7 linked regions of the Danio rerio genome follow. The protein of the gene in region 2 binds, or shares a complex with, the protein of the main gene of each other region. Links are inferred from orthologs where the notes say so. Each region holds a gene or a part of one and is shown on either strand. Other genes may lie near its edges.

Region 1 (4,466 bases), on a different chromosome or scaffold from region 2:
TAGGGTAATTAGGCAAGTTATTGTATAACGATGGTTTGTTTTGTAGACTATCCAAAAAATATATATAGCTTAAAGTGGCTAATAATTTTGACCTTAAAATTGTTTTTAAAAAATTTAAAACTGCTTTTATTCTAGCTGAAATAAAGAAAATAAGACTTTCTCCAAAAGATAAAATATTATCAGACATACTTTGAAAATTTCTTTGCTCTGTTAAAAATCATTTGGGAAATATTTAAAAAAGAAAAAAAAATCAAAGGGGGGCTAATAGTTATGACTTCAACAGCATATTTTTGATCCATTTTATATATATTTTTGATCCAAACATCACAACAGCGTTCATTTTTGTTAATTTTTTTACGTTAGCAATTTTAACTTCATGGGGACCTATTATGCAAAAATTCCCTTTATAAGAGGTCTAAACAGTTGTGTGGAACAGTCTGTAAATATAATCACCTTCTAATGGTAAAAATATATTAATTTTAGTCTGCAGAAAAACTTTGATTGACATTCTCTCTTTGTAGTGACAATCTGTCCCTCATTAGCATATTACATTAGTCTTGTTTTTGAATCTGCCACTATGCTGACACACAGGCATTTGTGGCTCCCCTTTTTAAAAAAGGGCTGGGAACACAATATCATTTGAATTTAAAGCGACAGTAACCAAAACGACATCAGAGACTTTTAAAGATTTCACAAACTTTATATCTTGTAAAAAGGGCCATAAAAAGTCCCCTTTAAATCAGTTTGATTGATGTAAGTTGAAATTACTAAAATTAAATTGATTCAACTTAAAAATTTAAAACAGCAACAAATTTTTTACAGTGTATTATGGTAATTACTTATATATTTTTAATGTATGAAATAATGAAATTATGATTTTTGGCTGGGTCAGTTGGCATTTCTGTGTGGAGTTTGCACGTTCTCCACGTGTTGGTGTGGGTTTCCTCTAGGTGAATTGAATAAACTAAATTGGCCGTAGTGTTTGAGTGTGGATGAGTGTGTTTGGGTGTTTCCCAGTACTGGGTTGCAGCTGAAAGGGCATCCCCTGTGTAAAACATATGTACGATAAGTTGGCGTTTTATTCCGCTGTGGTGACCCCTAATGAATAAAGGAACTAACCCGAAGGAAAGTGAATGAATGAATGAATGAATGAATGAATGAATGAATGAATGAATATTGCTATACTAATTTGAAAGATAAAATTGACATTATATTAAATTCAATTGTTTTTAACAATGTGAATAATTCAATAATTGTAATAAAAGTAAAATAAACATCTTATATATTATATCATAGCTGTATATAATACAATATACAATATTTAAAAAAAACTGTTTTAATAGGTTCATTCTATCGATTTTATTTACAGTTCTTCTCATATATTGGATTTCAAAGATAGATTTAACAAACTAATTACAATATGAATATTTAAAATTAAATCAAATTACTTAGATTAACTGTTTATTATGAATGTGACACTAATTTGACTCAGATTTAAAACACTAAATTAAATTATTTTAAGTAAAATGCACAATTCGATGCTGCCCTCTTGTGTGCGAGTCTTGAGATGTTTGCTGCGTAGTTTTAATACGGACTTCACCTCCCAGGATGCAACTGGTTTTCAGGAAAGGGCGGGGCTTTTGCTTTCAGGTGCATTGTGGGAGCGGGAAAACGTCGCACAAGCTCACGTTGTTCCGCTGCTGTGTTTCAACGAATCTGCAGATTCAAGGTACTGTAATGCTTTATGATTATAACCTGATAACTACGTGGGGTATTTTGCGTGGTTCTGTGCTAAAATATACAGTCCTTTTTCGATTATTTAGTAGAGGAACATATATTTCGGTCATTCATTGTTTGCATTCACGCGACTCGTTTGAGAGATCAATCTTGGATATTCATTAATGTCTATCGCTTCATCCTGTTATTGAGTTCAGTAACGTTATAAGTCAGTTTTTACAAGTACCGTAGCCAAATGATTTTATGGTGTTTCATATTCTAGCGTGGATTCTTTCCAGCTAACGTTACATGTTTAGAACATGATTCTTAAACGAATGATTCGTAAGAGTCGGTTCATTTTATTGAATCAAAAGCAAAAAAGGTATAATAAATCGTTCTAACGAGTCGGTTATTTTAAATTACTCAAAAAATATGACATATTATTTTTTTCTATTTAAGAGGTGACTTTGGGAGTTATTTTTTGTTTCATAAAACTAAACCTGGCTCTTATAAATAAAATCCAAGTCAAAGGGTAACCTTTGATATTCACAAAACATATACAGTCAAAAGCTAAAGTTAAATGTGTTATAACTATATATTTGAGTTAAAACTACACTCTGATTTCGACAGTATAAGCAAAAAGGCTGTAATGGTAATATACACTCACTTTTTACACATTCTTCATTAATCAGAAGCAGTCTACTTCAGATTCAGTGACGTTACGAGCTCCTCCCATGCTTACTGATATATATATATATATATATCAAAGACATTAAGGGGATGATACCAGAACAATTTTGAGCATGGTTGTTGGAAGATGTTGTAGTGATGCTATCATTGAGAAACCAAGTAAGACACAGGACAGCTAATGAAGGATCCAAATACAATTTTGATACCCATTATCAATAGGAAAGTAGCTAAGCAGAATCACTCTGCAATATTGCCGAGCAACATTGCTCAAAAATAGGTTTGACTAAAATGTAAGTCTGAGCCGTTTCATCTGAAAGAAACATACACTGAACTGATCTTAATGCATTTCCGTGTGTGTTTTGGTTGGTAAGATGGAAAAAATCCTAAACTTTATTTGATAGATTTAGAGCAGTAAGAGGGTAAAGATGCTAAATAAAAGTTTAGTACACAGGCAACAAATAGTATAGCAGGAATTTGACCTGACAATGTAAAAAATGCAAACAAATAACAAACTCTCCTTAATATGAAGAACTGTAATGTCACATGAGTGCAGCAGTCATCGGATAAACCCAAAGAAAGGGTTTGTGTGCCCGAGACGAGACGCATGCTGTAAATGCTCCACCCTCTTACAAGCAGTAGCTCATTTGCATTAAATAGGACACACAACAACTGTGTTTGGGGGGCATTTACAGCATCAGTCTGTGGAAGAAACTGAGCATTATGTACAGTATTACCTTAAACCCCCAGCCTGTGCACATGTTTAGCCTTTTCATTAAGGTCTCCCGGTGACATAATGATGTGCATGTTGTCGTCAATATTGTGGATGGGATGAGGTTGAATTATCAGCAAATTTTCACTTTGAAAGAACTATCCCTTTTATAACCATTGGTCAGTGTCTGTTGTCTATATATATATATATATATATATATATATATATATATATATATATATATATATATATATATATATATATATATACACATACATACATACATACACCACACACACACACACACACACACACACACACACACATACACACACACACACACACACACACACACACATACACACACACACACATATATATACACACACACACACACACATAGATAGATATATAGATGTATAGATAATATTTTTTTGGTAATTTTGTTTTTTTTGTCCCACAGTTCAAAACATGTCTATTGGCGTACCCATCAAAGTCCTGCATGAAGCAGAGGGTCACATTGTGACCTGTGAGACAAACACAGGTGAAGTGTACAGGGGAAAACTGATCGAAGCAGAGGATAACATGAACTGCCAGGTACTGCTGAACTGAAGAACAGTTTATCCCACTAAAATCGCATTCTTTTAATGTCTGTTGTCTCGAGTCATGCAACTGACTGCGTTTCTGTTGTGCTGCGAATCAGATGTCCAACATTACAGTGACCTATCGAGATGGCAGAGTGTCACAGCTCGAGCAGGTCTACATCCGTGGCAGCAAAATCCGCTTTCTCATTCTGCCTGACATGTTGAAAAACGCCCCCATGTTGAAGAGCATGAAAAACAAAAACCAAGGAGCAGGAGCCGGTAGAGGAAAAGCTGCTATTCTCAAAGCTCAAGGTTAGTTATTTTAAAAAAAGTTACCTTTTTTTTTAAATTCATTACAGTGTTTGCAGTCATATTGTGTAATTTTTGAGCCTTACTTTGCATTGCATTGGCAATGATTGTAAGCTGCGCCAGAGATGCCTTGAGACGGCATATTTTCCATTAAGCTATTGTTTACATTAAAATATTTGTTTACAAAAGATGCAAGAAATGCAATTGCTGTTCAAAATATTATTTACAGGATATACAAGAGCTATTTTATTTAAAAGAGATATGGCTAGTTTTATACTTTTAATATGAAAAGCACAGAAAATAATTTATTTTGTTTTCAAAAGTGCAAGTTATTTATTTTCAGAAAACTGACTGTTGGTTTTAGGTAATGTGTGTTTTAAATTGAGATCTTCAGTGTTGATGATCAATACATAATTATAGATAGTGTGTGTTCTTCAGTTATTGTAAAATCAAGCAAT
Region 2 (3,714 bases):
CGCATGACATTCTGAGCCAAAAACATGGACAGAGAAAGACATTCAATGCTTTCAGAGGCTCTCTTTCTCCCTTAAAAGAGCTATTGATATCAGTCAATGCTCGCTACACATGCAGCTTCTTCTTCAAAAAATCAGTAATCAAAAATCAGTATGGTCACACAGTGTGTGAAATATAACCCCACACTGCCATGCCAACAATTTATGCAAATCATCTCATGAATAATCAGCCATTACTAAAATGGCAGAGCAACAAGATTTTTTAAAACCGTACTAATTACTTGAAATTATTACATAGAGTTAACCAGTTAATCATCGGAGAGACATTGATGAAGTAGCAGTGCCAGACTATTTAGAAATCCTTTATTATAAAGGCGGAGATTCAGGACAGTTTAACATGCTGAGACTGATAAAAGATCCTACATAACTAACAAGTCATCTGTCTCTGTCATACAGGTATGCACCTGAAAAAAGAGCCAGTGACAGTGGAAAGAGAAAACTGATGAGGGGAGAGACTGAGAAAGTAAAGAAAGAGAGGGAGACGGAGAGAGACTGACCTTTCCTGAGCACTCTTTTCTTGGCCCTGATGTCCGTCTCCAGCTCAGCGGCTCTGATGTAGATGCGCACAGACTGAGGGAGGTGTCGCACTGCTTGGGCAACTACTGCTTTCGCTGTGTCTCCAGGCTGCAGACGCGCAGCTTCTAGCCAAACATCCTCACTCTGAACAGACAAAACACAACACGGGTTATACACGCATGCCCACACACAGTGAAGCTGATGCACACATATAAAACACTCATCAGGGCCGTACAATGTATCATTTTATCATCGATATCACAATGTGAGAGTACGCAATGCTAGTCAAGTCACAGTCCAGTTGGGTTTTTAGTTGACCAGACGATATAGTTCATAGCACTGTGGAATCATTGTTTATTCATTGGATCAAAGTTTAACCTCAGAGTGAAGCTTTCAAATGCATCTGTAATTTCTTTCATCATTTACTAATCCTTTCCTGGTTTCAAACAATTATGAGTTTATTTTTTTTCTGTTGAACATGAATATTAAAAAAAGTTGGAAGCCTGTAACCACTGACTTCCATAATTTTGTTTTTTCCTACTATGGAAGTCAATGGTTTTCAGCTTTCTTCAACAATATATAATTTTATCTTCAACAGAAGCATGAAATTATTTTCGAAAGGTTTTAGGGCTGTCAAAGTCTAAAGGTTTTTTCCTGAAACTTAAAAAACCTCCATCTCCTGTTAACATTTACATGCTTAACCACTGATTAGTCGTTGTGCTCAGATGCTCAACAGAAATGGCTATAATTGGCTGTACAGGTCATCAGTTCATCACTCTTCACCGCTGTTCACCAAGTGCAAGCACAGAGTCACAGGCACTAGTGATCCATCAGATTGCTCATATGTCAGCACATAGACAGATCTGCTGATTGACACAGCTTTCAAATGCTCCACAGCCAACCACAGTCATTTCTGTTGAGCATGAACACAGTGGCTAATCAGCAATGTTTAAGAACGTGCTCAACAGTGATCATATTTAAAATACAGATTGGTATCAAACGATATTTCTAACAACCCTAAAAAGTTTAGAACAACTTGAGGAAGTGTAAAGAGAGTGAGCAAATTTAGATTTTTGGCTGAACTATCCCTTTAAGTCAGGGGTGTCCAAACTCGGTCCTGGAGGGCAGGTGTTCTGAAGAGTTTAGCTCCAACCTTATTTAAACACACATGAACCAGCTAATCAAGCTCTTACTAGATACACTAGAAACATCCTGGCAGGTGGTTTGTAGCAAGTTGGAGCTAAACTCAGCAGGACACCGGCGCTCCAGGACCGAGTTTGGACATCCCTGCTTTAAGTGAAAGTGAAACCAGCAATACTGGCCAGTGCAGCAGCACAAAATAACCTTTTTGTGGTTCATATATTTGGCCAGTTTTCTCTTTTTTTGCAATATTCAGCAGCAAAAAATCTGTGCATCTCAAAATGAAACCATACATTTAAACCATATTAGAAGAGTTCAGATGCAAAAACCTCTAAAAGCCATTTGAAATTTCCTTCAAAAATAATCAATTTTATCAGGGTCCTGTGTGTAGGTTCAGTAAATTTAAGTTTATGGCAAAGAATACACTCTTTTAAAGGTCCTTAAAATAAAATAACTCAACATAAACATAAGAGTCTGAGAAAAATGCTCATTTTCAATGGATATTTCAGACAGAACTTAGAGGTGTTCGCATCTGAACTCTTCATATGTATGCATTTTGTTTATGCAGGCTACCAGGAACATGGCAGACATGGCAGCACACCAACTTATGATTGGCAGAGCTCAAGTTCCTTCAAATAAACTGCACAAACAGAAGCACTACACCAGTTTGTTTTAACTGAACCAAATGTACCAAGACACTTGTGTACCCAATGTACTCAAGACACTCAAACAGGCCTTTTTTCTATTATTAAATTTCAAAGCTAGCACAACTGTCTGTAAAGTGGTAACAAGACTTTAATTTACAATTTTATGTACAAATTTCTCCACTCCTGATAATTTTCATAACAAAAGCCATAGCCTGCTGGCTGTCCAAATCAGCAATTTCATTTGGATATATTTTATACCCTAGGGAAAAAGCAACAATTCACTTCTGACAGAACATAACATATTAATTATTTAATCAGCAGATGTAATAACAAAAACAGACAGGTGCAAAAAATTGGGCACCCTAACAGAATAATAACTTCAATGTTTTGTACAGCCAACTTATGCTGAAATAAAAGCCTGTTGTTGATTCTTATTGCCAAGGATAAGTCCCTGAACTCTTGCTGAAGGCATTTTGGTCCATTCTTCCCTGCAAAATTTCACCAGTTCAGTCAGGTTTGATGGGTGCAAACCATAAACTGCCCTTTCCAAACCAACCCATAGATTCTCAATAATGTTTAAGTCTGGGGACTGGGATGGCCATATCAGAACATTGTATCATGTCGGAGCATGAATTCCATGGTAGATCTGCAACTGTGTTTTGGGTCATTGTCCTGCTGAAACATACAACCCTGCCGTAACTTCAGCCTCTTGACTGATTCCTAAACATTGGTCTTCAGAATCTGCTGATACTGGGTAAAATCCATGCAACCTTTGCTGTAATTCTGACAAGGTTTCTAGTACATGTGCTTGCCACACTTCCCCACAGAATGATGGACCCTCCACCATATTTTACAGCAGGGAGCAGGTTCTTCTCCTGAAATGCTTTGTTCTTTTTCCACCATGCAAAGCGCCTATGGTTGTGGCATCTGTCTACAGAATATTTTTCTAAAATGATTCAGGCTTGTCCAGATGAGCCTTTGCATACCTCAAACGAATCTTCTAGTTGGCAGAATGCAGAGAAGTCTTCCTCTGCATCACCTTCCATTAAGCTGTTCTTTGTGAAGAGTGCGCTGAACTGTGGAACTATCTACAATGACATTATTAGCAGCAAGTTGTTCCTGGAGCTCTTTGCAGGTGGTCTGTGGTTTGTTTGTGACCATTCTAACCATTCTTCGCCCTTTGCCTTTCAGATATTTTTTCTTGGTCAAACACATCTTTCCTTCACAAGAACTGTTCCTGGGGCCTTCCATTTTCTTACTATATTTCTGACTGTGGAGATATAGACTTTAAACCTTTGTGATAGCTTTTTGCATCCACCTAATTAATGTTGATGAATTGTCCTAGTTTTTAGAT
Region 3 (4,379 bases), on a different chromosome or scaffold from region 2:
AAAGGGTTCGGGATAGCTTCCATCCCATCCTGTGGACAGATGAGCACAACAGACGTCCCTCGACAAACAACCAGACCCAGCTGCCTGGTGTCTTCGGTCAGTTTATACTGGTCATCAGGATCTGTGTGGGAAATAAATGTGGTCAGAAATCATATAAAACCATTGATATAATGATAATAGTCAAACACAGATGTCTTTACTCTTAGGGCGGGGTTTTTTCGTATTTTCGGATGTGTTAACACTTGTAGTTTAGTCAGTTTGTTTGGACCAAACAAAAAAATTATACATAGTCCTAGTTTGTCAAGCTTTCATACTCTGATTTTTGACAGAAAAGCAGCTGCATTTATGACATTCAATTCAGCTTATTCAGCTTTATTTGTATAGCGCTTTTACAATGTAGATTGTGTCAAAGCAGCTTCACATTAATGGTCATAGTAACCGGAACAGTGTAGTTCAGATTTTAGTGTTTAAGTTCAGTTCAGTTCAGTTTAGCTCAGTTCAGTGTGATTTAAAATCATTACTGAGAGTTCAAACACTGAAGAGCAAATTCATCAATGCGTAGCTCTACCAATCCTGAACCATGCGAGCCAGTGGCGACAGCGGAGAGGGGAAAAAAACTTCACCTGATAGGAGTGAAGAAAAAAAACCTTGAGAGAACCAGACTCAGTTGGGCACGACCATTTTAATTTCTCCGCTGACCAAAAGTCATGTGCAGAGCTTCAGTCACCGCGGTGGATTCTGTGACTTTAAATTTTCAAAACAATTCTGTATGTTTAGATACACTTGTTTGCTGTATGTGCATGCACACATTTTTTAATCAGTTAAATACGGTGCCCTAGAGAGGACAAATGCAGTGTAAACATGCAAATAGAAAAACACTTACAAACTGAGAATTAATCGTCATTAGTTTAGTAACGTGAATGCAACTTCCAAAATATGCACATAGAAATGTTTTGGGGGACCTTTGGGGCAGCTTTCTTTTTAGAGACAGTGGTGTTGTCAGCATTTAAAGCTAAAATTATCCAAACACCAGGGAATCATACAACTAGGACGTTAAAGTAAAACACTCAGCTCTTTGACAACACCACCACCTCTAAACAGGAAGCAGAGGGTCGGGTTCATTACATTTTCAGGTCCCCCGACACATTTCGGTGCATATTATCACATTCAGGAATATGTGTCTCAGCTTTCTCAATCTGTGTTTTTCTATTTACCTGTTGTTGTTTTTTTTTTAGTTATAGTTTATCCGAAAACTAACCGTTTCACTACTAGATTTCAGCATTTTTCAAAATATCTTCTTTTGTGTTTAACAGAAGAAAGAAACTCAAAAAGGTTTGAAACATATAAAGGGTGAGTATTCAATGACTAGGCGTGGGACAATAACTGTTTTAAGGTTTATCGCGGTTTGAAAAGTCAAGGTTTTAAAAACGTTAAAATTGTCTGTTATACCGTTCTCAAGGTATTTGTAAGTTTTTTTTTTACGACTATTTTATTGAGTTTTTTTGGGCAACAATAGAAAAGGACCATCCACATCACAAGTTACCATGATTCAGGAAACATCTGAAAAACAAATCTCTTATAAACCAACATCCAGCATGCTGTAGAGCTGAACAGTGTAGATGATTTTTTTTATATCCAAAGAAAAGAAAGATATCCAAAGATGCCTTTTCAAGTTGAAAAGAAATCTGTGCTTTTGAAACTAATTAAGACAGCAGAAGTCAATGACATTCAACAATTAATAAACAATAAATTATTTAGCCTGACATTATAGTTTCAAAATATTTTAAATGTTAAAAAATATAAACCATGTTCAATGGGGGAAAAGTTTTTTTTTTACTCAGACATTTAAAAATAAAATATTTTGGAGCAGTATGTACAATAACATGATATTGTGTAACTGTGATATTTCAACCTAAGGTTATCAACCGTCAGAATCTTATACCAGCCCATGCCTAACAATGACAGTATTCATTTTTTTAGGGTGAACTATTTAACTTCAAGTGCATTTAAACTCTCTCAGAAAACCATATTAAATGTGTCAAACCAACACCAGAATTTCCTCTGGCTCACACACACCCAAATGAAGATCTGCTGAGACTGTTTCTGATGCCTGAACTGAACGGTAAGGAGCAACATTGTTATGCTGACAAAAATAGCTATGCTGGAGCATTCTGCCTTTTTATGTTTAATATCATGGCATCATGTCCTCTTTGGGTTGATTTAGATGCATTTATATATCAGTCAACCCACAAGAGTTTGTATGTTGCTTTATATAATTTATAATTTAATAAATTGATTAATTTTATAATTTAAATTGCAGCATTTACACTAAAATTTGTTCAAAACAAACCACACTAACATTAATACTGTGAGAAATTTAATGCAGAACATAATTTGGTACATATTCGGTTTACATTAGCACATTTTACCTCGCATGTATTCAATGGTGCCGTCCAACACAAGATTCAACAACGGGTCGAAGCCTTTTAAGACGCCACTTGCTGAAAATAGGAAACACTAGTGTCAAATTTACCACAATTCATTTAAATATCATAATGTGAAACATTTAAATTCATAATTAATTTCATAAAGCAACTCCCTCACCTTCGCGACCTCCTTGAAACTTTACACGTATATGTTTGTCGATGTATTTCGACAAATCAAAAATACTCTCCTTCTTTTTCTTGTCTTTGTCCTGAGGATCCAAAAACATATTATATAACAATCTCCAGGCCTCTATAATAAATATCAGACTCGTAGCTTAGCACAAAAATACACCACACATCACATTTACAATTACCAGCACACCCTAATGTGTAACAACATAAATATCAAGAGTGTAGGATATATTCAGGTGCTTATATGTTTGTTTATAACGCCGTTTGTCCTTAAAAGTGTTTATAATGTGAACGGTGTGGAAACGTTTGCGCTACTCACCGCCATGTTCAAAACTCCTCTACGCCCCGCCCACTCCGGGTTCACGTTTGACGTCTACCTCTCGGCCAATCACAACGCGCGCAGGTGAACTCTGATATCAAATGTTTTCAATTTTATCAGCTTTATTCACGCACAACTACACAGTATATACAGCTTTAAATGTTTATATCTATATTATACGATTTATAAAAACAAAAACATGTTGAAATACGATGATACGCGTGATTAGGTTGAAGTGTTTCTCACTTCCGGTTGGAAACGGACAAACGCGGGAGTGAAGCGCGAAAAACAAATGAGTCTTTCAACAACCTAAATAACATCTTTAAAACAGGATTACACGATTTTTAATTATTATCGTTGCTTTGTGAATGAATTAGGAATGACGGAATTACTTTTTAACAAGCGGTTGCAGGTGCTGGTGAAGAGTAAAGATACCGATGAGAGGTTTGTGTTGATTGTCTTGTTTTTGAACACAATGCCTAACTTAAATTGATTTATGGTATGAATTTTGGCTTTATTTTGTCTGTAATTATTAACATTTCGAAGTCTGTAAGGGTCTATATGTGTTTATATATGTTGTTTTTGTTACTACAGGCGTTCGGTTATTCGCGTTAGCATTGAACTGCAGTTACCATCCAGCCCTGTTCACAGAAAGGTTTGTTATTAACATGTGTACAACCATATTTATGCCTTTAAGCATGTTTTATGTGGTCTTATAACTTTTTTTAAATTTTTGATCAACAGGATTTAGTTGTACGGCTGACTGATGATACTGATCTTTACTTTTTATACAACCTTATCATATCAGAGGAGGATTTTCAAAGGTATTGTGGTATTAAAAGTGTCATTTCATCAATGAGCCATATTTATTTTCAACACTTTGCTATTAGGCTTCTATGTGATTATATTCTGTGTAATCGTTTTTATTTGCTCTTCTTCACAGCTTAAAAGTACAACAAGGGCTTTTAATAGACTTCACATCATTCCCACAAAAATTTATAGACTTACTTGAACAGTGCATTTGCGAACAGGACAAAGAAAACCCACGGTAAGAGGTTATAATTCATAATAATGTTCAGATGTTGCAGTTGTTAAAGTGATAGACAGGCTAAAGTCAATAATTACTGATGATTTAGTCAACCTCAGGACAAAAATTTCTTATTGGTTCTTCACTGAGTCAAATATTAATACTGTTTGGTGTTTATTTCAAAAATATAAACTTTTTGAAATGAAACTTATATAAAATTTTATAAATATCTATCTAACTATCTATCTATCTATGGGAAAAAATAAAGAGACCCCTTGAAAACTCTATATTTGTATTTGTCTGTACATGTTTGAAAACATTTCTTTTTTTCTTCTAAATTTCAAATCAAATAATGTCATTTAAGCATTTCTTAATATTAAAAATAATAATAGCAATAAACGGTTTAAGAATTTTA
Region 4 (4,294 bases), on a different chromosome or scaffold from region 2:
TCAAAATAAACTACAAAATACCTCAGCCACAAAATGTATCAAAATAAAATACAGTATTTTTGTATTTTAAAAAATTCTACAAAATATTTTTAAATAGGAACATGATATTTGTTGGCAAACCTTTCATTAATAAGCCCATTTGATCAGTCCCTTCACCATTAAACTGATTCTTTAATACTCAGTGTAAAAACATGATTTCTGAAACTTTCAAAAAATTATCTTTTTTTGCAAATAAACTTTTCATATATTATATCATGTTCCTTCTGTATAACCTGTCAGAAGTTTTTAATTATTAAATGTGCGTTTCTCATGTTGTCACTTTTACATGTTTAGGCATACAGTACATCTTTCTTTTTCATTAACAGTACAGTGCATCTGCAGATCAACTACTGGCATTTGAAACAGCATCGGAATCGCCACTCATTTATTCATTCATTGTCTTTTCGGCTTAGTCCCTTTTGTAGGACTTATTGTAGGACTTATTGTTATGTTGTTTGTTTCAGTGACAAACATTTAGCATCAAAGTATTTTACAATATTTTAAACTACAAAAATAAAAGACATTAATGTATTTTTAATACAAAACATTAAGCCATTTCCATCAACCCTATCATAAATACTGCCCATCCCTGCTTATATTCATTCTAGGTAATTTTCAGAATGCTTGCTTTTAAAAACAGGAGAATGCATATTAAAGCATAATGTTATAAGAAGGCTCTATATGTTTAGGAACATTTATCTTTAAATTATAGAGAATCCAAAATCCATTTTTATTTTCAGAAATGTTGAAAACTTGTAAGCACTGACATTCATAGTATTTGTTTGTCATACTATTAAAGTCAATGGTTACAGGTTCCCAACGTTCTTCAAAATATGGAAAGATCAAGATGGTTTTAAACAAGTAAATTGATTAAATTGGCTGAATTTACATTTTTTGGATGCACATAAATACATAATCGTGAAAAACATTATAATCATTAGCATGTCGTGGAGGTTTTGTTTTGTTTTACAATATAGCGTTTTGTAAGTGGACTGCTTTTTTGTTTTATAAATGGGGATAACGCAGAGGATTAACCTGAGCCCTGGACTGTGCTTTATTATTATTTGTCTCCATCTGCTGACGAAAGAGGGAATTGCCAGAAAAGAGGAGCCATGTACGTGTATCAGCAAGCTCTGTGTCAGACATGTCATGTACCTCTTCGGGCATAAAGTTGACTGTTTTAAGAAAATATTTCACATCCATTGAACATGCGCCTTTTAATCTCTTTTGTGTGATGAACGATTGCGGAATAATTTACTGAGATGAGTACAAATGACGCAAAAACAGAACAAAACGCCAACAATTTCGCGACCAATGGGATTTTTACGTCTTCATTCTTCTAGCCAATAGAAGCACAGAGTGAAAGACCCGGCAGCTTTTTGATGACGTATGTGATCTAAAGCACAAAGCCGCGTGAAAATGGTAAGTGTTGTTATTTAGCAATATCATACAGTAATTTACGTTTAAGGAATTAATAAACGTGCTACGACCATTTGTTTAACATATTTAGGTTTTTTTGACCACTGTGTTCGCGAGAAAGACAAACAATGCTTCATGCTAACAGCTAACGCTAGCTTTCTTCATAGCCAAATAAAACAACATTCTCAAGCAAGGATTATCCCCTTAATTAAATGCCCAACAGAAACAACTCTGGCTGACTCCTATTATATTAAAGTCTTGGTATTTCATTTGCCTGCGTAATTTAGAAAGCAGTGTTATTTGCTGTTGACATTTCTCATTTGGTCTGTTGATAAAACTTGATTCAATCGTTTTATCGATGTCTTATTTGCTGTCCGCCTCATATTTTGAGAGTAATTCCTTCAAATGTTTATTCTCAGCTCTTCTACTCGTTTTTCAAGTCTTTGGTTGGCAAAGATGTTGTGGTGGAGCTCAAGAATGACTTGAGGTGAGTGCTCACCTTTCTTTTACAAATATTATATATATAATTAGAAATTGAATATACATATTTTATAATGTATGTGCCAGCTCGTAAAACTATGAACACATCTATTTTGCAGCATATGTGGAACATTACATTCAGTTGATCAGGTACGGAAACTGACTCCACACGTTTATTAATATAAACAAATATTGGGCGATTTAGGATTAAGTTAATCTTGTCATTTGTTCTTCCCTCACAGTACCTGAACATCAAACTGACAGATATCAGTGTTACTGATCCAGAGAAATATCCGCACATGGTGAGAAATGGATGAAATGAAAATTACACTCATAATCTTGGGTCTAATATCTTTATCAATGTCATGGAATTTTAAAAGGTTCATTTCAGACATTGAAATTTAGGAAATGTTGATATATTTTTGTCAGATTCATGGAATAACAGGGATTTTTTGTTTGTTACTTTACATTTTAGCTTTTCTTTATTAAAATATATTTGATATTTACAGCCATGCAAACCGCAAGTATTTTTTTTTTATATTAAGTAAATTATCATTTGTTGTTCTCATAGTGGCTATTAAATGAATGTAATAAAATGGCTAAAACCATTTCAATATATTTTTAATTTAATATTACAATTTTTTATAAGCACTACAGAAGCCTGTTATGTTCATGTCATGGTTGATATATTGGTTTATGGTAAAAGTACAGAAATTAATACTATGAAAAATCTGAAAATAGCAAGTGTAGGACCAATTTATTTTAAAGAATATTCAAAATAAAATTTTTTTTTGAATACTAAGTCATCTTTATTTTTTGAAATATGCAATAAAATATTTTCAGATTCTCATATAACATTGCTTTGGTTTTATTGTCAAAAAAACTAACTAGAAAGCAAGTGTAGAATTGCAACAGGATTTTTTTTTGTAAACCAACAATGCTGTGTAGTGAAAACCATTATTTAAAACGGTGAAAATACGGTCAACCATTTGATAGAGCAGGCAGCTAAAGGGTTAAAGAGGGAACCCTGATAATTGAATTGATTCCTAAATTAATGTAGATCAGGTTATTAAGTCTGTGATTTATGAATTGTCATAGTGATGTAGGTGCTCAACAAGGAGAACTTTGGTGTATATAGATGACTCTAATATTGTTTTGTTGTAGTTGTCTGTGAAGAACTGCTTCATTCGTGGATCAGTGGTGCGATACGTTCAGCTTCCTGCAGATGAAGTGGACACACAGCTACTACAGGATGCTGCACGCAAAGAAGCTACACAACAGAAACAATAATGTTTATATTTGAGAATAGTTTGGTTTTGTTCCAATGTTCAGAAGCATCATCTGTGGAGTTTTGTTGATTTAAATGTTTTTCTTACCTAAAACATGTAAAGTTTTTTTTTTCTCTTTCATTTTTACGTCATGTGAAGCCTGTTATTGAGGGTGTGATTTACTGTTTTTTTTTTTTTACTTCACAAGTTAGTGGTTGTGTGCTTTTAATGAGTGTTGGTAAAGTTCTGTACTGCATACCAATGACTTTTAGTTAGGTTCACACATTGATGCAAAAATAAAGTATTTTCCTCTGTTTTCACACTTTCCTTTTGGTGGAAAAAATCGTCCATTGTTGGAGTTCAGCTGACAGCATTTTACAAATTATGTTCGTGGAATGCTGGTGTTTTGGTTTAGGCAGGCATGTCCAAACTCGGTCCTGTAGGGCTGGTGTCCTGCAAAGTTTAGTTCCATACCCAATCAGACACACCAGGGCTAGCTAATCAAGCTCTTACTAAAAACATAATTGCAGATGTGTTGAGGCAGGTTGGAGCTAAAATCTCCAGGACACCGGCCCTCCAAGATTGAGTTTGGACACCCTTGGGTTAAGGTGAATGGATAGTTTAGCAGAGGTGTCAAACTCAATTCCTGGAGTGCTGCAGCCCTGCACAGTTCAGTTCCAAGTGTATTGGAGCAGGGTTGGGTTTCAAAGAAGCCCGAAAGATTTAATTACTTTAATCTGGTTGTGCTTACTTAAACTGAACTAAACAGTGCAGAGCTGCAGCCCCCCCAGGAACTGAATTTGACACCTGTAGTTTACAGCCTAGTCCCAAACAAAAAAGTAAGTTGTTTAGAGTAAAAGAAACTCGTAGTTACTGTTCCTAAAATATACCAGTGCCTTTGTTTTGTGTTTTTTAGGCACTTTTATGCGCTAATAAAGTAATCATGGCTTTATCAAAGCGAATGTAGACCACACTACAAAAATATGTTTAGGTGTTTTAGTTCAAAATAAATTGTCATCTACATTTCTATAAGTCAAATGACAAATATGTTAAGTTAAACTGATTAACTTAAAAAAGGAAAGTAATGA
Region 5 (4,389 bases), on a different chromosome or scaffold from region 2:
TTTAAACGTCAACCAATATTAATTTCCTTTTTAGTTGATGCAAACTCCACTCTTGCTTTAACAAGTGGAAATAAAACACTGGGGAAAAAAATCAAAGGGTCTTTAATATTGATTTAGACAATAAAATGCATGGAAATCAAAAAGTTTGATAACAAATATCCAAGTGTAAGAAAATGGTGGCAATACTAAAGGAAGGTTTCAGACTAAAAGCCTTAGATCAAGAGCAGGATACAGCAACTGAGGTAAAGTTGGTTTTATATTCGCACATTTATTTAACGACAACTTGCGACACGCTCCCTATATTGTTTCCCACGGTACTTTGAATATTTGATTTGAAATCATAAGTAAGTTTGACATGAAAACAACATAGTACTATCTATTTGACTGTGAACAATGTTGTACTTTTATAGTCATTTGCTGATATGATTTTACTATTTAGAATTTTCAAAGAATACTTTTCTAAAATTATATTATTAAGAAAAAAAGTGAGAATATGTGAATACAGGGCTCAACAATAAGGACTGCCCAATGGCCCGGGGCTAGTGTGCGAGATGCTAGGGACATTAAACAGGACCGTTACTGGCCTAATCAGGTCTTAAAATTAAGAAACTGTTATTTCAAGCCTTTAAATACTACCTTCTCAGTGAAGTTGTAAACACCATATTGCTTTTCGCTTCCTCTTATGTGATTGGATGATGTGAGCATGTTATTTTTTTCTAAAACTTGGTAAAAACCAGTACAGCAAAGAGGCGGCAACTTCAAATTATTAAGCTAAAAGAAAACGTCTGTTTCTAATGTCTTGGGTACAACATGACGAAAAAAATGTGATGTTCTGCACAGTTTGCCGCAAGTTTGGCAAGTCAGCCACATTTTGTTAAATAATTTTAAAGTGCAATAAAATACCTGCACATTTTCTATTATTTTTTTGTTTGTTTGTTTGTCTGCATTACACTATAAATTTTGCTTATTTTAGATTTATTAGCATTAAATGCTACATTCGCAGATGTTATTTTTGACAGAACATTTAAAATATGTGGCTAGGATATTTTTTATTACAGCTTTTCTCAGTCGCTTTTGTGCGTTTCTCACAAAACTAGTGCATTTCTGCACAACAGTTAATGCATTTCTCAAAACAATTAGTTTAAACTGCAAAACCTAGATGATAAACTGCAAAAATGCGTCACATGCTCAAAATGGATAGTTCATTCCTCAAAAGCAAGTATTGATGTTAATCAAAGTGCCAGTATCATCAAAATGAAAAGTCCTGACACCATTGTTTATGAACAAGATAGTCACATGGCTTTGTCCTGTTTTCATGATGACAGTTTACTCTGTACATTTTTTCAATGCAAAAAAAGTCAGATTTTGTTGACACTTCCTGAAAATGCTCAAGACAACACTGCATACTATTTGCACAGCCATTTGAAAACTACAGTAAAGTTAGACATCACTGCATTTAGTGAGGAATCGGAGTACAACAAACTGAATATGTATGTTTCACATTTTAACTGTATATACTCTTTGCAATTCTAATTTATTCACACCATTGTGCAAAAGAATACATACACCCTTATTTACAACAAACAAACTCCCTTTGGGTAGAGTTGTGCACAACTGTACACAATATTGCAAAACATATAGGAACTGAAACTAAAATACACACAAGTCTATAAATCAATCATGAAATTGTTCAATTTTTTAGACATTATCAGGAAAATAAAGATTTAATTTTTTTTATAAAATATTGCTTAACAGATTTTGACAACTAGTTCAACATTTTTGTATGTAATGACTCAAGTAATGAAATGAAAACTATTTGTTTTATATGGAATGACTACTCAGAATTCACAAGTTTAGTTGACATAAGCAGATGATAATGTTATAAATATCAGAGAGTTGTATGAAAGTAATTGATGCATGTCCAAAAGCATCTGCAATGTGTTGGAAGGAATGAGAAACTGCTAATAGGATGTGCACAAATGACTAATTATTTTGAGAAATGCATTAACTGTTGTGCAAATGTAAATAGTGCTGTGAGAAATGCACCAAAGCCACTGAGAAAAACTGTAACTTGTTATATTTGGTCAGACCAGTGAAAAGTTTCGGGCCAGTAAAAAAAAAATCTTTAGCGTTGAATCCTGGAATATAAAACTTACTTTACCTGACACAACTTTATCCATATTTAACTTGCATGTGGCAGTGAACTTGTAATAAATTACAATAAGGAAATTATGTTGTTTTCTTCAAGATTGACTTCCAAACCATCCTATTTTATTACCTCCAACACAACAAATATGATCAGTCCCTTCATGCATACCCTCGATAACTTGTAAATGATAAATGTAAAATACAAACATAAAAACAACCGCATATTTCAGTTTGTACCTCTGTAATCGACACCAGAGTTCAGTTTCACCACCACTGGCCTCCCAATGATCTGCTTCAGGAAATCACTTGGTGTCTGCTTTCGGAGACTCATTTTAGCTGAAAATGAATGACAATGAAGTTTATGAATAGCTCTTATAAAAATGAACCATGGCTGCATTGTTAACAAAAAGGATGTGACAATAACAACAAAACGTACTAAAGACGTTTATTTTAAACCACATAAGGGGTTTCCAGAAGAGGTTTAACCTTATTTGTTTGGAAATTGCCGGTGAACGTTATCGATAAGCGGCTAATTTAGCATGCTAGCATTCCAACCCAACGTATCACTTAATAAACGTGTCATCGTATATCTAGCAAGGTAACTACAGTGCTGCAGTTTTTTAAAACCCCACTAACGTCGAATGCATTCTTATATTAAAGCATACAACATTTAACGTTATTTACCTATGTCGTTTAGCAACGTTAACCGCACGTTTCGACTGAGCGACTGCTGACCAATGAGCTCGTCCGCTTATTCTAGTTCCATGGTGTGTACACCATTCAGCCAACCAGATGCTTCGTTAGAAAGCCAGTGTACGGAAGCCGACAAGATAGCGTTATCTCCTTTGACAAAGAATGCGTAGTGGAAAAAAGAGCCAGATCGACGGTGGCAGTAAAGACGGGGAATCGTCGCTTTTGCTACATTAGGACATAAAATCGTTAGACAAACAGAAGAATGACAGATGAGCTGATAAAAATGGACGAACAAACAGACGTATAGAAACCTAGACTGACAGACAGACAGACAGACAGACAGACAGACAGACAGACAGACAGACAGACAGACAGACAGACAGATAGATAGATAGATAGATAGATAGATAGATAGATAGATAGATAGATAGATAGATAGTCTGTCTGTTTGTCAAAGTATTTTGTGTACATTGTGTATAATAAGCAACTTCAGGTTGTAGTTGAGGTGTGGCTAAAACATGTAGGAAAAAAGAAGATCCTGTATAGCCAAAAGAGAGAGAGGGAGATGGGGAAGAAAAAGCTGTCTTTTGTTCACAGGCAGAGGAGGGGATGCACCTGAGAGACAGAATCATAAAGCACTTCTGGCGCATCCAGACAGTTTGCTTGTTAGCAGGGCATTGGTAGCCCTGAGGAGGCTAGAGGTTAATTTGGTATCTGGTGCTGTGTTAAACTAAGGTCAGCGCTACAAGTCCTTAAGTCATAAACAAGTGTGGTTAAGAGCCGTGTACACACCTAGGCACGAGTTAATGAATATTCAATGAGTATTTTTCCCCTTGTTGCCAGAGTTCACATCCTAAAGGAGGGTTAAGAGAGAAAAATGTGATCTAATGCATTTTCCTATCAAAGCAATCATTCATTTAAGGAAAAAAAGGAAAGAAATTGAACGAGTTTACAGATTTTTCGGTTGTGGCACACAGCACCGGGATTTTCAGTTGTAAACAAATATGGAATATCATGACAAGGAAGCTGACACAAGCACTATGATGCTTTCTTGACTACTGGAAAAGCGTGAATGGCTTGGCTTGTTAAGCGATACTGAATAAAACACAATAGAGCTCTACAGACACAGAAAGCATTTCACAAGCTTTTTATCTTTCAGTTTTGCCTGTTGCTTGGTAGAAGATGATTCTGTCCGTCTCACATAAAGAGGGCATTTTAACCTTAATGTGCTGTCCTTCAAAAAGTTTTCAACTTAACATTTTGTAGACTGATGTGAATGTGCATAAAATTTTGACTGGGAACAAATAAAAAAAGCATTTGCTTTTCCTCAGTCAGCACAGACAATCCACTCTCACCGCAAGCCTGTGAATAACCCCACAGCTCCTATGAAAACAGTAGCGTGTTGGTAATAACCGCCCAGTGATGCCAGATGGGACTGTTTTCACCCTGCCTTCAAGACGCTGGTGAGCTCAGATGGACAGTGGCACAGTTGATTTGCTGGTACAACCCGCCTCACCTTTCTAAGCCCCCAAAGACCTGAGAGGGAGT
Region 6 (4,262 bases), on a different chromosome or scaffold from region 2:
AACAGTTACAGTATTGTCAAGTTTTACAAAAAATGGAAACCTATTGTGGAAGTGTACTGTGTTCTGTGTTTTGGTTTCCGATTTGGTCCGTCATTCCATCAGAGAGGAGATACTGGGAGATGGAAAAATTAATCAAGCTATAATCAAGCTATAAAACTCCAAATTACCGTGACAAATTACTGTGACATACAGTTTGGTAGCCTATATGATGCAACATTTTGACTGACTGACATGCCCTTTAAAAGAAAAAACTTGGGTAACACTGCTCTAATGTTACAGCCACAGGCTGTACAAAAAGCCAAGCCCCTCTCATGCTATCGATGTAAACAAAGTAGTAATCTGTTCAGATTCATCTTCAGCCTTAGTTAGTATAGCAAACTCAAAATCAGATAGAGAGGATTTAATAACAGAAATCTATTTATCTTTATATAGATTAAAGGAAATAGGAGTAGTCGTTTATTTCTGCTGGGTTCCATCACATATTGGGGTATCTGGTAATGAAGTTGCTGACAAATTAGCAAAGGAAGCACTAAATAAGCAAGAGGAAGTAAATGTACCTCTGGGGAAAAGAGAGGCAAAATCGATTTTAAAGGAAAAACTAATAAATAAATGGCAAATTAGATGGGATAATAGTAATACTGGAAGATGGCACTATAGTATTATACAGACAGTAGGGACAACACTAAATCAAGGAAGAAATAGGAAGGAAGAGGTGTGGTTATCAAGATTAAGATTGGGACACACAGGGTTAAATGCAACACTTGCGTTAATGGGTTTACATGAGGATGGGAAATGTGATGTATGTGGTGTAACTGAAAATGTGGATTATGCACTATTTATATGTAGCAAATATAATAAACATCGCAATATGTTATTCAGTCAGTGTGGGGAAGATAAAACAATATATAAAATTATTCTAGGAAAAGGTATAATAGATTGGCAAGTATATAGAGCGTTTATTAGGTATATAGAGTATTCGGATTTAGGTTATTATAGTCTTATATTTATGGATGAGAGTATTCTCAATCATTGTCATAAAGGCCCTTTATGTTAGAGGAGCTGAACACGCAGTGCTGACATGAGTATGTGGTCTAGATGCAAAGATTGGACAATATGAAACATCCAAGGTGTTTTTTTCCCCCCTTTCCCTCCCTCCTCGTTTCTTTTTGTTGCCCTTTCATCGGAGTAAGATTCGGTACAGTAGGTGGCGATAATGCTTTTAATTGTTAGTCGCCATAAAACAGAAAGAAGAAGAAGAAGAAGATGCTATCGATGTGTGCTGATATCGATTATCCATGCTTGTAATTGGCTTCCGGTCCCGATTATTCAGGTCTGTTATCAAAATGGCGGCAATCACAGCAACGAATCCTTCGCAGCTTTTACCACTCGGTTTGTTTCACTTTCTTTAAAATTGCTTATCATTTACTGACATAACTTTTGTGTTTTTGTACGGGGCAGAGATGCCAATCAGTCACGTTCGTAACTCACTTTGCTTTTTTATCTAATTGAATACACCTGTGCACAAAAGATGTGGCCCTAATCATGTCAATGTGTTTTTATTTTAACTTAAATATTTAATTTCACAAATTTATACATCAATGTGTGATTGATTATATATAAACGGAAGCCAGTTCATTTAGTTAGTGTGGGCGAAAAAAATAAATCACTAATATGTTTCCCTCTGTTGGAGTTTAAAATATTGTAATTATGACTTGGGAACACATTTATCATTAACAATTTCCATTAAGATGTATTTATAAGTAAGATACTCTGAAAATAAAATTTTATGTATGAGTTACGACATTAGAGATACCGTGTCAAATGATTAAAAGCCACTCCACTCTTTACTCGCAGGATTTTTTTGTTGTTGAGTCAAATAAGCCTAAAATTAGTACTTTAAAGAATGAATTTGGTATTAACATATTACTCAATCCCACACCTAGTGTTAAAGCCAAAGAAATTTTAAATTTTATTAAACGTGGTTCGTTAAAAACTTACCTTGGCTGTATAGTTGTTGAAGTAACGTTTAACATAAATTGAATTTCTTTACAAGGTTTTACAGTTGTATATCACACTGACCACTCAAAATGTTTCCTTTAACAGCCAATGATGTGACTGTGTTTATGATGGGGATTGTGTGCTGTCTTTCAGAGCTGGTGGATAAGTGCATTGGCTCTCGGATTCACATCGTTATGAAGAACGATAAAGAGATTGTGGGAACTCTGCTTGGGTTTGACGACTTTGTCAGTATCCTTTACCTACTGGCGGTAAAAAAATAAACAAAACACTGTCAAATATTTGTGATGTTTACAATTTAGTTTTGGATTCAACTTTTTTTTTTTTTTTTTTTTTATAAATACTGCTAGCTAAAGATATAGTTACACATAAGATTTCCCTTTATTTCCCTTAGTCCGTTTATTAATCTGGGGTCGCCACAGCGGAATGACTCGCCAACTTATTTAGCATATGTTTTACGCAGCGGTTGCTCTTCCAGGGTGGAAAATGGCATAACGGCAGCAATGGTTACTGAACAACAACGTTGTGGAATCAGTCTGCCTAAAGAATGTTCATTAGCCTGTGCTTTAGTTTTAGCATTTTAATATAAGAAAATGTCCAACAAAAGAACTCTATCATATTTACAGACTCCAAATCATGCCTCCAAGTGATGGAATCTTCAGAAAATGATCATCCTTTGATTAATGATATTATAACTAAAGTTCACCATTTACAAAACCATTTTTTTTCATATTTTTTTTTTTTTTTTTTTGCTGGGTTCCGGGACATGTTGGGCTTTCAGGAAACGAGCGAGCTTGATCCAGCAGCTAAGGATGCTTTGAAATAAGTTGTGAACGAATGCCAAATTCCTCTTTTAGAGATGAAATCTTTTATCAACGTTTACTTTTTAAATAAGTGGCAAGAGGAGTAGGATGCATTGAGAAATAATAAACTGTATGAAATACAACCTGAAATCTCAAACTGAATTTTTAGTCATTTTAAGACTAAATTTGATTTAGTGATTTTTACTAGATGTTGTATTGGACATGCAAGAATGATCCATGCTTTTTTTTTTTGCTCAAATGTGAAGACCCTGCTCAATATTTGCACATCACACTTTCTTTTACAGTAAAACAGATTTTACTGGATTGTCCTGCTTTTAACAATTCCAGAAGGCTTTTTTTTTTTTTTTATCAAATGATGTCTCTTCAGGACATTTTTAGCAAAATGACACCTGGAAAATAGTAAAAAAATTATAAAAAAATGTATTAGCATTTAAAGATGTATTTAATTTATGTATTCATTTGTTTTTGTTTTTTAATTGTATATTTATTATTGAAATGTTCTTGCCATGAAAATAGCCTTGCATTGCTGACATGGCATTAAATAAAAAAATACAATACACTACATCACATGTTGTCAACAGAGAAATGTAAATGTCTATGTAATGTTATCTTTGCGATGTTGTACATTTCCTTGATGCTTTACATCAGACATGGTCCTAGAGGATGTCACAGAATTGTAAGTATATTTCCTAAACAAAAATATTAAATATTTGCTTAATTGTCTTTGCACAGTGTATTCATGCATTCTCTTCTGCTTTGACTTAAAGGATAGTTCCCTCAAAAATTTTAATTGTCAACATTTACTCAACCTTCTATTGTTCTAAATGCTGTTCGAGTTTCAAACGATCAGTATCCTGTCTCCAAAATTTTAGGTGTTTGTTTTATTAGGATAAACTATCAATAAAAAAAGCACTTTCGTTCTAGAGATTAACTAAAGCTCAAGTTTTATACCATTAGACTATTTATACTGTATTCTAATTATTCTATAAACTATACTGCATAGAGAAGGCATTTTCTAATCTTTTTAGAAACTTTTTTTAAAGTATGCTTAGTTAGAAGTTCAATGGTATTAGCAAATTTTTATCACTATTGAAACCGTTTAATATTTTGTGACATTATTATTAAAGAATAATTCCAAGTATTATCATTGATTAAAAAAAAAAAAAAATCAATTGAATGTGAAGTGTACTTGAATGTGAAGTGTACACTCATGTATTCAAGATGCAAGGAAAATTGGATTATGAAGTATTTTCACAAGAATTTATAGATGTAGGTTACATTTTTGAACACTTGGTATTAAATATTTCCTCATCTCGGGCTTGTGTGTTTGTATCACAGTGAAATCACACCAGAGGGAAGAAGAATCACAAAACTGGATCAGATTCTCCTTAATGGCAATAACATCACAATGGTATGACAAAT
Region 7 (4,185 bases), on a different chromosome or scaffold from region 2:
GGGAAAAAGCTGCAGTTTCCACATATATCCAGCAGGGGTCCTTATGCATCTATTCATTTCAGCTTTTACTTCTTGATGCTTTAGGACCCATCCCATGCTTGAATGTCTCAGTAGTCCTTCAGCGTTAGAAGGAATGGTAGGCTATAAAATATTTTCTCAGCTTACACAGTCGATCTACATAACTGAATAGCAACACAGGCACAGGTTACTGCATCTATTTTTTAATATATATATATATATATATATATATATATATATATATATATATATATATATATATATATATATATATATATATATATATATATTTAACTGACTGTCACACATTCTCAGCATTTGCTTTTAGTTGAATTTCAAGTGCAGCAAGCTAAACTTGTTATTTATTTCTTAAAGAAATATTATAATAATTTACTGTCATGTTGTGTGACATGCAAAAGAAAATATTTAGAAAATTTTAATATTCAGAAAGTTTTTGTTTCCAATTTTTATTTGTGCTCTAGACCCAGGCCTTTGCAGAAATGTTAAACTTTTTAAAATTTATAATGGGTTTAAAATTCATTTAAAAAAAATAATCTTAATTTTTTTTCCACTTTTCTCATTTTTTTTCAGTGTGGTCAGTTTGACCTCAAACACCATAAGTTTTTTTTTTCTTTTTTTTTTTTACACATATAAAGCAACCAAATCAAGTCCAGTTGTGACTGTTTTGTTAAAGGTTGGACTGATGTGACCCCAACATTGCCTAATTGATAAAGTTGCAATTTCATATGCAAAATTGCATATAAATAAACACCAAATAGCCTACTCTTGATAACAATGCAATCCAGATGATCAGCCTCACAACTTTCACTATACAACTAAATTGTCTAATTTTCCTTTGCAGGAAATGTGAGATGGGCTTTCCCAGATATGAAAATGCGGAATTTAAAGGAAGCAGGAGGAGATGTGTTTCAAATCTAACAGGGAGGGGGAATAGTACTTCCATACTCACAAACACAAGCTTTTTTCAGGAATGTCTGTGCGATCACTGATCCATCAATGTAGAAAAGGGATGAAAAATTATAATTTTCGTAATTTAAAAAAAATAAATAAATAAATAATTGCACAGTGACATCCGGGAAAACTCCCGATCATAGCCTATGTGTATATCTTTGGCTTTGGATGGTCACAGCTTGCATTCATTTCAAAGGAGCGGTTCCCTGTACTAACATGGTGGATCTATTGACGCATTCCTTCCAATAGACAACAACAGGGTAGGCGACATCTAACGTATATATCTATGTCTAACAGGAAGCAGATGCATTTTCCGTCTAATGATTTGTTCGCGAGAGAAACGGAAAATGCATTCTGGGTAGATTTGAAAGATGGCGGACGACGCTGAGCAGGTTTGCAATTTTTGCTTTGTATAAATATTTCGTTAGCTGTTTGATTATCGCGGAGGTTAATCGTATTAATTGTGTTTATTTTTAACTAGTTGAACACACGGGTAGCCTATGCTAAAGCAGCTTGTAACTACGACGATTGTTTGCATGGACATTTTCATTCAAATAAAATACATCACTGAAATTTACTTTACAGCAACAGACCACCAACACCGTAGAAGAGCCTCTGGATCTGATTCGGCTCAGTCTGGATGAGAGGATCTATGTAAAGATGAGGAATGACAGAGAACTGCGTGGCAGACTGCATGTGAGGGGAATACTACATTACATACTCTAAGTTAGTTATACTGCACGTGAGGGAAATGCCACATAATATACTGCATACGAGGGGAAAATACTACATTAAATACACGTTTCTACTGTACGTTATTGGAAAAAATACAACCTTAAGCATATTATATAACGTTATACTAAACCTGATTCAAAATACTACATTAACCATTATATAATGTTACATAAAGTTAGTTACATTGCACGTGCAAGAAAATACTAAGTTACATTGTGTATATATAAGTTACACTAATTATACTGCACGTGAGGGAACATACTACATTAAACATTATACAGTTATACTGCACGTGAGGGAAAATACTACATTAAACATATTATAGACTCTAGTTAATCTGCATGTGAGGGAAAATGCTGCATTAAACATTATTAAATTGCACTTGAGGTAAAGTACTTTTATAGATATATTGTTAGCCTTCACGTGAGGGAAAATTCTAAATTAAACATTAAATATTATAGTTAGACTGCATGTGCGGGAGAAATACTACTTTAGTATATACTCTAGTTCACTGGTTCCCAACCTTTTTTTGCCTGAGACCCCCTTTTTCCCTGGAAAATATTGTTAGGCCCCCCTCCACATTTAATGATATAATCGCTCATATAAGTTTGCACTAATAATGACAAAAAATATTGTTTCAAACAAAGCAAAGGTAGATCTCCAGGAACAGGATTGGCCACCCCTGCTCTAGTTAGACTGCGCTTGAGAGAAAAAACTAAATTAAACAGATTATACTCTAGTTATCCTGCACCTGAGGCAAACATTAGGCATATTATATTTATCATTATTATATTTATGTTCATTCATTCATTTTCTAGTCGGCTTAGTCCCTTTATTAATCCGGGGTCGCCACAGCGGAATGAACCGCCAACTTATCCAGCAAGTTTTTAGACAGCAGATGCATTTCCAGCCGCAACCCATCTCTGGGAATACTATTTATATATATATATATATATATATATATATATATATATATATATATATATATATATATATATATATATATACTAATTAAACTACAACTGCACATGAGGGAAAATACTTATATAAATATTATATACTCTAGTTATACTGCATGTGAGGGAAAATACTACATTGTAGTTATTATATACTCTATTTATACTGCACATGAGAGAAACTACCACATTGTACATATTATATACTCTAGTTCAGTGGTTCTCAAACTGTGGTACGTGTACCACTAGTGGTACGCAGGCTTCCTTCTAGTGGTACGTGGAGGAATAAAATATGTCATGTACATGCTACACACATTTCAAAATTGATAAAAATGATGTATATAATGTCATATGACATATAGCCTATATTTCTCATGTAATCTGCCACGTTTTTTTAACTGTGCAGAGTTGTAGCTGCTTTACTGGGCCTACAAGGCTATTGTATCTCAATACTGCTCATTTTGGTGGTACTTGGAGAGACAATTTTTTTCTGAGGTGGTACTTGATGAAAAACGTTTGAGAACCACTGCTCTAGTTATTCTGCCCTTGAGGGAAAATACTACATTTTATACAGACTCAAGTTCAATTATGTCTCTAAATGTATTATGTTCTGTTATTAAAGTCACATGAATTTGGTCTGTGGATTTTTTGGAGAAAATAAAGGATAAAAACATGTAAAAGTGAATTGATAAAATCTATTAAAATGTAATAATCAAATGTTTTATCCTAATAATTGACTACACGCATTAGTGTAGTATGTAAAGTGTTTAGTAAAAGAAAGGAAACATACAGAGGATTAAAATAATATTTATATTGTAATTGTATTTAGATCTAAAATACAAGTCTAAACTAATAGTCTACAGCAGTTCTAATGTGTTATTTTAACAGTACGTATGTATATATGAACAGTATATTGAAAAATCTGTTTGATTTTAATAACAAATCACAGAGATAAGGGATCAGAAAAATGTAAATGTTTTGTATTTTACAGAGGTAAATAAACTTATGGATGACCAAAAATGTACTGAATACAACTTCCTTTGTGTGAATTAAACAGCACAACCAAAAAGGATAAATGTTGACATAAATATACTTTTATTATTTTAATATTCATTTCTTTAAATATTTATTTTCTTTTATTTACCATATTTGCATTAACAGGGCTCGAAATTGCGACTATTTTGGTCGCATATGCGCCCGAAATTTTATCTATGCGACCTTAAAATATATTTGGGAGCATTTCTGCGAGAGCTTAAAATTGTTGTGTGCAACCAGTTTGTCTGCTCTTTGTCTGCAAAAATGCAGCGCTCGGGAATGGTTTAAAACAGTTATCATGTCAACTTGTTGCAGTAAACAAATCCAAGTCCGTAATGCTTGCCCTGCCTTTGCGCTCTTCTTATTGGCCCACCACTGCTCTAGCACTGAATGCGAATGATTGGTTAATATCAGCTGTTAATCACTCAGTCGCCTTCTGGCTTCGGACGACAGAGAGGGCTACTACCGC

Evidence for each region.
Region 1: prpf6 (region 2) and snrpd3l share a complex: the UniProt entries of both Homo sapiens proteins name them as parts of the U4/U6-U5 tri-snRNP complex. The link is inferred for Danio rerio from reciprocal best matches to the Homo sapiens genes PRPF6 and SNRPD3.
Region 3: prpf6 (region 2) and lsm7 share a complex: the UniProt entries of both Homo sapiens proteins name them as parts of the U4/U6-U5 tri-snRNP complex. The link is inferred for Danio rerio from reciprocal best matches to the Homo sapiens genes PRPF6 and LSM7.
Region 4: prpf6 (region 2) and smx5 share a complex: the UniProt entries of both Homo sapiens proteins name them as parts of the U4/U6-U5 tri-snRNP complex. The link is inferred for Danio rerio from reciprocal best matches to the Homo sapiens genes PRPF6 and LSM2.
Region 5: prpf6 (region 2) and lsm6 share a complex: the UniProt entries of both Homo sapiens proteins name them as parts of the U4/U6-U5 tri-snRNP complex. The link is inferred for Danio rerio from reciprocal best matches to the Homo sapiens genes PRPF6 and LSM6.
Region 6: prpf6 (region 2) and lsm5 share a complex: the UniProt entries of both Homo sapiens proteins name them as parts of the U4/U6-U5 tri-snRNP complex. The link is inferred for Danio rerio from reciprocal best matches to the Homo sapiens genes PRPF6 and LSM5.
Region 7: prpf6 (region 2) and lsm3 share a complex: the UniProt entries of both Homo sapiens proteins name them as parts of the U4/U6-U5 tri-snRNP complex. The link is inferred for Danio rerio from reciprocal best matches to the Homo sapiens genes PRPF6 and LSM3.

The regions. Positions count from the first base shown.
Region 1 is NC_133196.1:14,699,914-14,704,379, forward strand, and holds the start of snrpd3l (small nuclear ribonucleoprotein D3 polypeptide, like), read left to right. Parts: upstream 1-1,612; 5' UTR 1,613-1,729; intron 1,730-3,578; 5' UTR 3,579-3,586; coding exon 3,587-3,712; intron 3,713-3,818; coding exon 3,819-4,011; intron 4,012-4,466. UniProt on the Homo sapiens protein: Plays a role in pre-mRNA splicing as a core component of the spliceosomal U1, U2, U4 and U5 small nuclear ribonucleoproteins (snRNPs), the building blocks of the spliceosome.
Region 2 is NC_133198.1:7,069,115-7,072,828, forward strand, and holds part of prpf6 (pre-mRNA-processing factor 6), read right to left. Parts: exon of another isoform or gene 1,850-3,714; intron 1,650-1,849; exon of another isoform or gene 718-1,649; coding exon 555-717; exon of another isoform or gene 454-554; intron 1-453. UniProt on the Homo sapiens protein: Involved in pre-mRNA splicing as component of the U4/U6-U5 tri-snRNP complex, one of the building blocks of the spliceosome.
Region 3 is NC_133197.1:10,400,985-10,405,363, reverse strand, and holds the start of lsm7 (U6 snRNA-associated Sm-like protein LSm7), read right to left. Parts: upstream 2,959-4,379; 5' UTR 2,944-2,958; coding exon 2,938-2,943; intron 2,696-2,937; coding exon 2,605-2,695; intron 2,502-2,604; coding exon 2,430-2,501; intron 122-2,429; coding exon 1-121. Other genes in the region: sass6 (spindle assembly abnormal protein 6 homolog), read left to right, coding at 3,317-3,381, 3,532-3,592, 3,682-3,761, 3,881-3,985. UniProt on the Homo sapiens protein: Plays a role in pre-mRNA splicing as component of the U4/U6-U5 tri-snRNP complex that is involved in spliceosome assembly, and as component of the precatalytic spliceosome (spliceosome B complex).
Region 4 is NC_133181.1:30,702,528-30,706,821, forward strand, and holds smx5 (smx5), read left to right. Parts: upstream 1-1,382; 5' UTR 1,383-1,458; coding exon 1,459-1,461; intron 1,462-1,877; coding exon 1,878-1,945; intron 1,946-2,057; coding exon 2,058-2,088; intron 2,089-2,180; coding exon 2,181-2,240; intron 2,241-3,102; coding exon 3,103-3,228; 3' UTR 3,229-4,163; downstream 4,164-4,294. UniProt on the Homo sapiens protein: Plays a role in pre-mRNA splicing as component of the U4/U6-U5 tri-snRNP complex that is involved in spliceosome assembly, and as component of the precatalytic spliceosome (spliceosome B complex).
Region 5 is NC_133176.1:39,344,492-39,348,880, reverse strand, and holds the start of lsm6 (U6 snRNA-associated Sm-like protein LSm6), read right to left. Parts: upstream 2,927-4,389; 5' UTR 2,833-2,926; exon of another isoform or gene 2,610-2,832; coding exon of another isoform or gene 2,585-2,609; intron 2,485-2,584; coding exon of another isoform or gene 2,480-2,484; coding exon 2,386-2,479; intron 1-2,385. UniProt on the Homo sapiens protein: Plays a role in pre-mRNA splicing as component of the U4/U6-U5 tri-snRNP complex that is involved in spliceosome assembly, and as component of the precatalytic spliceosome (spliceosome B complex).
Region 6 is NC_133187.1:13,906,547-13,910,808, reverse strand, and holds the start of lsm5 (U6 snRNA-associated Sm-like protein LSm5), read left to right. Parts: upstream 1-1,261; 5' UTR 1,262-1,343; coding exon 1,344-1,389; intron 1,390-2,151; coding exon 2,152-2,247; intron 2,248-3,488; coding exon 3,489-3,516; intron 3,517-4,178; coding exon 4,179-4,251; intron 4,252-4,262. UniProt on the Homo sapiens protein: Plays a role in pre-mRNA splicing as component of the U4/U6-U5 tri-snRNP complex that is involved in spliceosome assembly, and as component of the precatalytic spliceosome (spliceosome B complex).
Region 7 is NC_133197.1:33,572,348-33,576,532, reverse strand, and holds the start of lsm3 (U6 snRNA-associated Sm-like protein LSm3), read left to right. Parts: upstream 1-1,298; 5' UTR 1,299-1,361; coding exon 1,362-1,382; intron 1,383-1,575; coding exon 1,576-1,686; intron 1,687-4,185. UniProt on the Homo sapiens protein: Plays a role in pre-mRNA splicing as component of the U4/U6-U5 tri-snRNP complex that is involved in spliceosome assembly, and as component of the precatalytic spliceosome (spliceosome B complex).